2 linked regions of the Oryctolagus cuniculus genome follow. The protein of the gene in region 1 purifies or fractionates together with the protein of each later gene. This does not show direct contact. Links are inferred from orthologs where the notes say so. Each region holds a gene or a part of one and is shown on either strand. Other genes may lie near its edges.

What was found.
Region 2: the proteins of TRMT112 (region 1) and ALKBH8 purify together in Homo sapiens (co-immunoprecipitation; 3 studies listed by IntAct, with this or other methods). This does not show direct contact. The link is inferred for Oryctolagus cuniculus from reciprocal best matches to the Homo sapiens genes TRMT112 and ALKBH8.

The regions. Positions count from the first base shown.
Region 1 is NC_091432.1:7,010,103-7,014,058, reverse strand, and holds TRMT112 (multifunctional methyltransferase subunit TRM112-like protein), read right to left. Parts: upstream 2,254-3,956; 5' UTR 1,959-2,253; coding exon 1,881-1,958; intron 1,807-1,880; coding exon 1,705-1,806; intron 1,612-1,704; coding exon 1,522-1,611; intron 1,448-1,521; coding exon 1,340-1,447; 3' UTR 1,276-1,339; coding exon of another isoform or gene 1,168-1,275; 3' UTR 1,049-1,167; downstream 1-1,048. Other genes in the region: ESRRA (steroid hormone receptor ERR1), read left to right, coding at 84-343; PRDX5 (peroxiredoxin-5, mitochondrial), read left to right, coding at 2,428-2,601, 3,589-3,723. UniProt on the Homo sapiens protein: Acts as an activator of both rRNA/tRNA and protein methyltransferases. Together with methyltransferase BUD23, methylates the N(7) position of a guanine in 18S rRNA.
Region 2 is NC_091432.1:99,375,442-99,380,773, reverse strand, and holds the start of ALKBH8 (alkylated DNA repair protein alkB homolog 8), read left to right. Parts: upstream 1-2,004; 5' UTR 2,005-2,127; coding exon 2,128-2,141; intron 2,142-4,915; exon of another isoform or gene 4,916-5,105; intron 5,106-5,332.

The DNA.
Region 1 (3,956 bases):
GGTGCCCGGCTCAGGAGCAGCCGTGAGAGATGTCTGGCTCCTCCTCGGCCCGCCCGGGCCTCAGCTGTCCCCTCTCCTTGCAGACTCTGTCCACATCGAGGACGCCGAGGCCGTGGAGCAGCTCCGAGAAGCCCTGCACGAGGCCCTGCTGGAGTACGAAGCCGGCCGGGCTGGCCCGGGAGGCGGCGCCGAGCGGCGGCGGGCCGGCAGGCTGCTGCTCACGCTCCCGCTCCTCCGCCAGACCGCGGGCAAAGTGCTGGCCCACTTCTACGGGGTGAAGCTGGAGGGCAAGGTGCCCATGCACAAGCTGTTCCTGGAGATGCTCGAGGCCATGATGGACTGAGGCCAGGGGCGGCACGGCGGGCGCTGGCGGGCGCTGGCGGGCCCTGCCGGCTCAGGTCGCCCCAGGGGCAGAGCTGGGGTCTGGGCAGTGCCGCAGCCTGCTGGCAGGGCCGGGGCAATGCCACCAGCCCCTGGGAGCAGGCCCCACGCCCTCCCCTCCCCCTCCGAGGGGGTGTCGCAAGCTGGGAACGTGTGCGCCCAGGCTTTGGGCAGTGCTGCCCTTGCAAGCCATAACGAGCCCCCAGAGCCGAGGGGGCCTTGCGGAAGCCATAGGGGGCCGCGGGGGGGCAGATGCTGACCTCAGGGAGGGAAGGGCATGGAGGCCACAGGCTCCCGGCGGGTGACGCTTCTGCTGCTGCTTAGTCCACCCTCTCCTGAGCAGAGGGGCCCGCGGAGAGCGAAGGCCCTGCCCCCTCGCTCCTCTCCTCCTCATCTGCATTGGGCCTTCGTGCCCCCCTTGAAGCAATAACTCCAAGCAGGCTCCAGCCCCTGGACCCCTGGGGTGGCCAGGCCCCCCTCCCCCCAGCTCCTGCGCCTCCTCAGGGGGCAGGGACAGCACCGCCTCTGTGCCCTGCAGAGCAATAACACTATATTTATTTTTGGGTTTGGCCAGGGAGGCGCAGGGACCTGGGGCAGGCCGGGGCCCAGAGCCCGCGGCTGTACAGAGACTCTATTTTAATGTATATTTGCTGCAAAGAGAAACCGCTTTTGGTTTTGAACCTTTAATGAGAAAAAATATATATATACTACGGAGCGCAAACCACCGCGTGTGCAGTGTGTCGCTGGGGGAGGGGCCGCGCGGGCGGGGCGGGGCGGGGGCGGCGGTCAGCTCTCGGTCTCCTCGTCGCTCAGCAGCATGTTGGGGATCCCGCGGCTGATGGGGAACAGCCGTCCGGACTCCGGGCACTGCAGCGTGCCCTCCAGCACCTCCACCTGCGGGCGGGAGGCGCGGCTGAGCGGGAGGGCGCGGGCGGGGCGGCGCGGGCGGGGGCGGCGGTCAGCTCTCGGTCTCCTCGTCGCTCAGCAGCATGTTGGGGATCCCGCGGCTGATGGGGAACAGCCGTCCGGACTCCGGGCACTGCAGCGTGCCCTCCAGCACCTCCACCTGCGGGCGGGAGGCGCGGCTGAGCGGGAGGGCGCGGGGCGGGGCGGGGCGGGGGCGCGCGCGCGGGCTGTCACCTCCAGCAGCACGTGGTGCATCTTGCGCAGAAACGCCTCGTCGCACTCGTAGCCCTCCACCGGCTCCTTGGGCACCTCCGCCAGGTGCAGCTGCGGGCGAGAAGCCGGCGTCAGCCCCCGCTCGCCGCCCCCGGCCTCGGCCCCCCACCCCCGGGGTCCGCGCGGCGCGGCCGGGGGCCTCACGGTGTTGGCCGCCTCCAGGAGCGCCGCCCACTCCACTTTGGGGATCATCCGCGCCACGAAGGTGGGGTTGAACTCCACAGGGTTGATGCGCACCTCGGTGGCCTGCGGGGCAGAGAGCGTCAGTCGCGCGGGGGCGGGAGCCGCGCACCGGGGCCGGAGGCCGCCCCTGCCCCTACCTGCAGGCGCAGGGGGAAGCCGCGGGGCCCCACCCCCCGCACGTGGGAGCTCAGCAGGTTGTGGGTGAGCAGCTTCATGTCGCCGCCGGCGCGCTTGCCAGGCCGGAACCGGAACACCAGCCGCTCCGCTCGCGCCACTTCCGGGGCTGCCCCGGCGGGCCGGAAATGGCGAACGTGCGGGCACTTCCCGCGTTCGCCGGAACAGGCGGTGTGTGGCAGACCCGGGCGGGTCACGCGCTGGCGAGGCGCGCGTCGAACAAGGGATGCGAGTGCGCGCCGGTGCGGCTGCTGCACGCGTGTGGCTCCTCCACGCGTTCCTCACACGGCGTCTCCCCGCCCGTAAGCCACGCCTCCTCAAGTGCCGATGAGCGAAGCCCCGCCCCAATGCAAATGAGCCTGGCGTCCCGGAAGCCCACGCCTGCGCGGTGGAGGCGGCTCGCCGGGGGCGGGGCGCAGCAGGTGCCCCGACCATCGCGGTCACGTGGTCACGGGCCCGCCCCCCCCCGCCCCCCGCTGAGGGGCGGGGCTGCTGCGGCCGTGAGAGGGCATGGGACTGGCCGGGCTGCGCGTCCTGGGACACCGGGTGGGCTCGGTGCTCTCGGGTGCGGTCGTCCGCGAGAGTGCAGCGGCGGCGGCTGCAAGACGGCGACTTGGAGCGGGGCGTGCGCTCTGTGGAACCCGCAGTTTCAGCGGCGCTGCCGTAGTCATGGCTCCGATCAAGGTGACCGTCCCCGGCCCCCGGCTTCCCAAGGGCGCCCCCGGCACGCTCGTCTGGGGTGTCGCCGCCTTTCCTTCCCTTGGGTTCCCTCGGAGACCCCTCCCCGCCTCCCCGCCGCCGCCCTGGAGTCCCTGCCACCTGCGCTTCGTCCCCTCTCCCGACCCCTGGCTGCCCGCTGCTCTCGCGGGTTCCAGGGGCCTGGTGTCCAGTCGCCTGGGACCGCCCCGAGCCTGCGGCGCCGCGCCGTTCTGGGGGAGCTGACGCCATGGCCTCCCCCCCAAGCCATCTCCGTTGCCCCAGGGCCTCCCCTCCTCGTGTCCCCCACGCCTTTGCGATGGTGCTGGGCCCCCCGCACCCCGCCTTGGCCGAGAGCCCAGTGGTGCCCCAGGCCCCCTCCAGGGCCGATGCCCACCCCTCTGCCGGCGTCCTCCACGCGTCTTCGGGACCCAGCCCCAGCCCCTGTCCTGAGGGCCCCTGAGACGCGGGGGGACTCTTGCTCCCCTCTGTCCACCTCTTCTGGGCCCTGGACGCCCGCACACACTCCCAGGCACACTTCCTTTCTTATCCACACCCCCGGTAGCTTTCCCGCCCGCGGGCAGCCGAGGGCAAGACACTGAGGCCTGGCTGGGGTCCTGGCCCTGCCTGCTGGGGCCTCCTCTCCACCCCCAAATACAGCGCTCTGCTCTTAGCCCACCCTTTCCTGCGACCCACGGCCACACTGGGGGAGCCTCCCCCTTTCTCCGTTGTCACCCGTGGGCCCTTCGAAGGAGCAGGGCCACCTTGGGACCTGGAGGGTGGGGGTAGCCAGGTGGGGAGGGGGTGAGGGCCAGGCAGGAACCGTTGGAAACTGATGGGACTGGACTTTCCTGCTGGGCGGGACCGTGTCCTGGAGTCACCCCGCCCTCCGGCTCCTTGGGAACGTCTCTCTCCCTCCGCTCTGGGTGGCTGCCCCGCCCGGCTTCTCCCCACTTACCCCGACCTCCTCCCTAGGTGGGGGACGCCCTGCCCGCCGTGGAGGTGTTTGAAGGGGAGCCGGGGAACAAAGTGAACCTGGCGGAGCTGTTTAAGGGCAAGAAGGGTGTGCTGTTTGGAGTCCCCGGGGCGTTCACCCCTGGCTGCTCCAAGGTGAGGCCCCCTTCGGCGGGTCCTGGGTGTCCTGAGCCTGTGGGTGAGGTGGCGGTTTGGGAAGTAGATCCTGCCGGCTGGTGACTGGTCTGGGAGGGGCCTGGGGCCTTGGCAAGGGAGACACAGTTCACAGCCCTGACCACGGGACAAGTCGGGCTCTGAGCTTCCTAGTGGCCCAGGCAGCAGGGGAGCCTGGTGGGCTGAGAGGCCGGGGGAGCTGACCGCTTTGTGCA
Region 2 (5,332 bases), about 92 Mb from region 1:
AAATCCAGCTTCTTACTAATACAGACCTGAGGCAGCAAGTGATGGATGAATCAAGTCATTGGATGCCTATCACTAACACGGGAGACCTGGATTGAGTTCCCAGGTGTTGGTTCTGGGTTCAGCCCAGTCCAGGCCACTGTTGGAATTTGGGTAGTCAACCAGCTCTCTCTAATAATAATAATAATAAAGTTGAAAAATTATTTTAAAAATTGTTAAATGGGAATGGGGAATGATTCATAAATCTCTTTAAAATTCTGGGGCGACAGACAGGAAAGAATCTGCAGAAAAAAAGAATCAACCACAAAACTGAGGGATTGCTGGTGTTTAATTATGGACACAGGGAAGGTAGCACAAATTCTGACAGCAAGTGATCAAGATGTGTAAAGAGAACTAAAAGAGAACAGTTTCCCAGAGGCTTAGAAATTTAAAAGTTTTGGGGCCAGTGCTGTGGCATAGCAGATAAAGCTGCCACTTGCAGTGCCCGCATCCCATACGGGTGCTGGTTTGAGTCCTGGCTGCTCCACTTCCAATGCAGCTCTCTGCTATGGCCTGAGAAAACAGTAGAAGATGGCCCAAGTCCTTGGGCTCCTGAACTCATATAGGAGACCCAGGAGAAGCTCCTGGCTCCTGGCACTTGGCTTTAGCCTGGTCCAGCCCCAGCCATTATGGCCATTTGGGGAGTGAACCAGTGGATGGAAGACCTCTTTCTCTCTCTCTGTGTCTGCCTCTCTGTAACTCTGCTTTCAAATAAACAAATAAATCTCAGAAAAGAAATTCAAAAGTTTTGAAAGCTTCAGTACCTTCAAGTAGGCCAGATACTAAGGTGAAAGTACGGAATTCGGCCATTGGGAAGTGGGATACTTTACACTGTTCAGTTTGGTATCAAATAGCCACATACAGCTATTTAAGCTAATTACAACTAAATAAAAATTTAAAAATTTGCGATTCAGTTTCTTAGTTGTACTAGCCACATTTGCAATGTCCAAAAGCCATCCAACACAAGTGTCTACCATACCAGACAGCTCAGATTATAAAATGTTTTGATAATTGCAGGAAGTACTATTGGGATGCTTTTGAACGCATCCAGTAGTGCACAAGCAAGACTGCAATGGGGGGCATTCAATGTGTTTTTCCTTACACATCTCCCAGGTCTTTTATTTCTGGTCTGTTACTAGATCTTTCCCCCTTCTATCTGCCATTTCTGTGTCTCAGTTAACATTTCCTTCCTTTTTTTTTTAAGATTTATTTGAAAGTGTTAGAGAGAGAGAGATCTTCCACCCGCTGGTTCACTCCCCAGATGGCCACCACAGTCGGAGCTGCGCCGATCCAAAGCCAGGATCCAGGAGCTTTGTCTGACCTGGGATCCCACGGGGTGCAGAGGCCCAAGGACCTGGGCCATCCTCTACTGCTTTCCCAGGCCACAGCAGAGAGCTGGATGGAAAGTGGAGCAGCTGGGACTAGAACCGGCTCCCATATGGGAAGCCGGCGCTTCAGGCCAGGGAGTTCAGCCGCCGCGCCACAGCGCCGGCCCCTCCTTCCTTTTCACTTTACCATGTGAACGGCTCTTTTCTTCTAGTCTCCCCTCCCACTATCAAATAGAAGCTCTGGTTATATCACTTTGTTTCTCGAATCTTTCTGGGACCCCCTTAGCCCTAGAAAATAGAACAGTGTTAGGTCATGGACGGTGTGGAGGCACCCTCTCTTTTTACCTCCTTCAACATCTCCCATGCATCTTCCTAACACTCTAGGGTACTCACGTTCCCCCGGCACATTCACGCGCATGCACCTTCCTTCCAGCTCGCACAATGTCCTCTTTCAGCCCCCAGCATCCTCTCCATACCTCCAAGAAGATACAGGAGGAAAGATATGCTGAGAGATCAAGGCGGGGTGAGACCCAAGGAGACAAACTTGTTTGACCTTTTTCCATTTGGGGAGCGCTGAAAAAAATAAGCCGCATTCTAAAACATTACTATGCCCCCAAATAAGAAGCGATTTACACGGTAACGGAGAGCAAAGACATTCGGCGAAGAAAGGGTCAACAGAGAGCTCCGGGGACCGAAGGGAATTGTGGGAGCTCCGTTCGTCGCCCCGTCGACTCATGGGAAATGTAGTGCGGTTGCTTCCAATATGGCCGCGCCCAGGTGAGTTGGTGTGCGAGTTTCTGCGGCGGGTTCATGGGCTAAAGTGAAGAGGTTGGAGGGAAGCAGTGCCCGCGCGGGAAAAATCTGGCTTAAGCCGAGGCGGAGGAGTGTGGCACTTCTTGCTGGAGAGCACTTTGGGCTGCAATGCCTTTTCCTCTTCCTCTTGTTACCTTCTTTCAGTCTTTTCTATCCGCTTGGCCGGTGGGGGCTGACAGCCCAGGGAAAGGAGGGGGGACCCGAGCAGTGCGGCCCGTGGGCAGTAGGGTGCCTGTGCGTTGGGTGGTTTTGTCAGTGTCCAAGGTGTATATGTTTGTGTTTGGCACGGATGCCCACGTGGGTCTGTGGTCTTAGTCTAGCGCTTCTAGGGCTTTTCTGACTGGACCAGCGTCAGTCCAGTGAAGCAAAGGCGTCGCTGGTGGCCTGATGTCCCACAGGGCTGTGTCTTCCTGTGCTCTTATTTGAGTAATCCCTGTGACTCCTGGGCGTCCCGTGGTGTTGGCTGGTTTTTTGTTTTAATTTTTATTAATATACAGAATGTTATTCTATTGAACATATATATATATATATATTTACAGAGTTAGATAGTGAGAGAGAGAGACAGAGAGAAAGGTCTTCCTTCTGTTGGTTCACCCCCCAAATGGCCACTACGGCTGGCTCACCGCGCTGATCTGAAGCCAGGAGCCAGGTGCTTCTCCTGGTCTCCAATGCGGGTGCAGGGCCAAGCACTTGGGCCATCCTCCACTGCCTTCCCAGCCCAAAGCAGAGAGCTGGACTGGAAGAGGAGCAACCAGGACAGAATCCGGCGCCCCAACTGGGACTAGAACCTGGGGTGCCGTCGCCTCAGGTGGAGGATTAGCCTAGCGAGCCGCGGCACCGGCCCTGAACATATTTTTTGTCAGCTGTAACCCAGGCACTCAATTCTGTGCCCTTACTAAGTACGTGACATGAAGCAGGTAATTACAGTGTGAGAGAGAACTTTGGACAGACGCACTGAGTGTCGATGAAAACACCTCAGAATTCTGGAGGAGGAGAGGCTTAGGAACCAAGTTGGCAGATTTCAGACAGAATTCAGAAGACAATTGAGTGGCTGCCATGTGCCAGATTCTGTTTAGTTGCTGACTGCTACGTGGTGAGTTACACATAGAAAATCCCAACTTCATGGAGCATAGTCTCTGTTAGGGTATAGGAGCAAGAGAGAATAAACAAATTAGCCAGAGTGTAAGGAACTAGACAGTTTGTGCTCTTTTTTTTTTTTTTAAAGATTTATTTTATTTATTTGAAAGACAGAGTTACAGAGAGAGATAGAGACAGAGAGAGACATCTTCCATCCGCTGGTTCACTCCCCAGATGGCCACAACAGCTGGAGCTGTGCTGATCTGAAGCCAGGAGCCAGGAGCTTCTTCCGGGTCTCCCATGTGGGTGCAGGGGCCCAAGGACTTGGGCCATCTTCCACTGCTATCCCAGGCCACAGCACAGAGTTGGATAGGAAGAGGAGCAGCTGGGACTAGAACTGGTGCCCATAGGGGATGCCAGTACTCAGGCCAAGGCTTTAACCCGCTGCACCACAGCGCCAGTCCCAGTTTGTGCTCTTTCAAGAGTTAAAATGAAATGATATGATTAGTGAGGGGTGTATTATTTTCCCCATCATTAAAAATCTTTATTTCATTTAAAAATAGATAATTTAAATGAATATATACTGAATTAAAAAAATGTCAAACAGGAAAGCTCCCTCTCATTCCTGGACTTACCTACCCAATTTGCCTCTGTGGAATCACCCCATGTCACCAGTTTCTTTTGTGTTCTAATGATTTTTATGTACAATGTATATACTTGTGCTATACTTTAAAATCTGGCTTCATTTGATAAGAGTTTAGGTTTTCTAATTTTGCTATTAATGAAGTATAATTTAAGCACACAAGCACTTTTTTTTTTCTATGCTTCCAGGGTCATAATAAGTGCTGTGTTGTTCAAGAAAGGCATGACACACACAGGGAAATATGCAGTAGGATGCATTAGGGTTAAACTTCCTAACAAGCAGGTAGCAGAGTATGCATAATCTTCAAAGGGTCATCCCACAGGGAATTTTCTTGGTCTGGAAGCAGCTGGACTACACTAAGCATGGCTAGTATCCTAGTAAATAGGGACCCTACTCCCATAACATGGCATGGAACATCCAAGCGTCTGTGCAATAGAGGAAGCTCCCTGGTCAGGGTTATGGCTTTCTTAGAAAGGGAGCACCTCCAGATCTCAACAGCTGGTACCAGCCTGTTCCTTGTTGAGGTGACTCAGATCTGCTGAGCCATGGCTGTCAAGCCACTGGACTGGAGGAAAAATGAGTCTCAAATAGTATCCTGCTTTGTCTTTCAAATGCAATGATGTTGCAGGGCAGAGTGCAGGAGACAGGAGAGAGGATAACAGAAATGTGGTTTTGAGGCTCCATCTGCTGGTGCTGAACTCTTGGTAGCTGACTTATGAAAGATTGTCAGCATCTTTTCTGACATTTTTTTCATTTTGTGATCTTTGCTCATGTGAGATATTAATAAAATTATTTTGTGCACCCTCATGCCTCGTTATCCATGATATGCTGTCAAGTTGCTGTTCCAAAGATGGAGATCTTAAAGCGGAATGAAGGTCCTCAGCTGGACTTCATCTTGTTAAACAGTTCTGATATAGCTCTTCTAAAAATGAACAGTAATATAGTAATAAATGAATTTAATCCTCCATAACAAAATGATGAGAGGCATTATTATTATTATCCTTGCCTCTGTTTACAGATGAAGAAAGTGAAACACAGAAATACATGGCTAACTGTCATACAGTTAATGGTTCATGGAGCTGAAATTTGAACCTGGACTCCAGCCACTGTGTTATACTGGCTCATGGCAGTGAATGAGTGTCTGGAGTAACTAGGAAAAGTATGCTTTAATCCCTGTCTTTGAAGACCTCATCGTCCAGTGGAACAAGGTGGATACTAGAAAAAATAATTATATTTAGTGCAATATTAGCAACATCCATTCAGTTATCCGTTTCCTATACATTGTTGGCTTAAAAAAAAAAAAACATTTATTTACTTAAGGCAGAGTTACAGAGGAAGAGGGGGAGAAAGAGAGAAAATCTTCCATCCGCTGGTTTACTCTCCAGATGGCCGCAATAACCAGGGCTGGGCTGGGAGCTTCATCCAGGTTTCATGT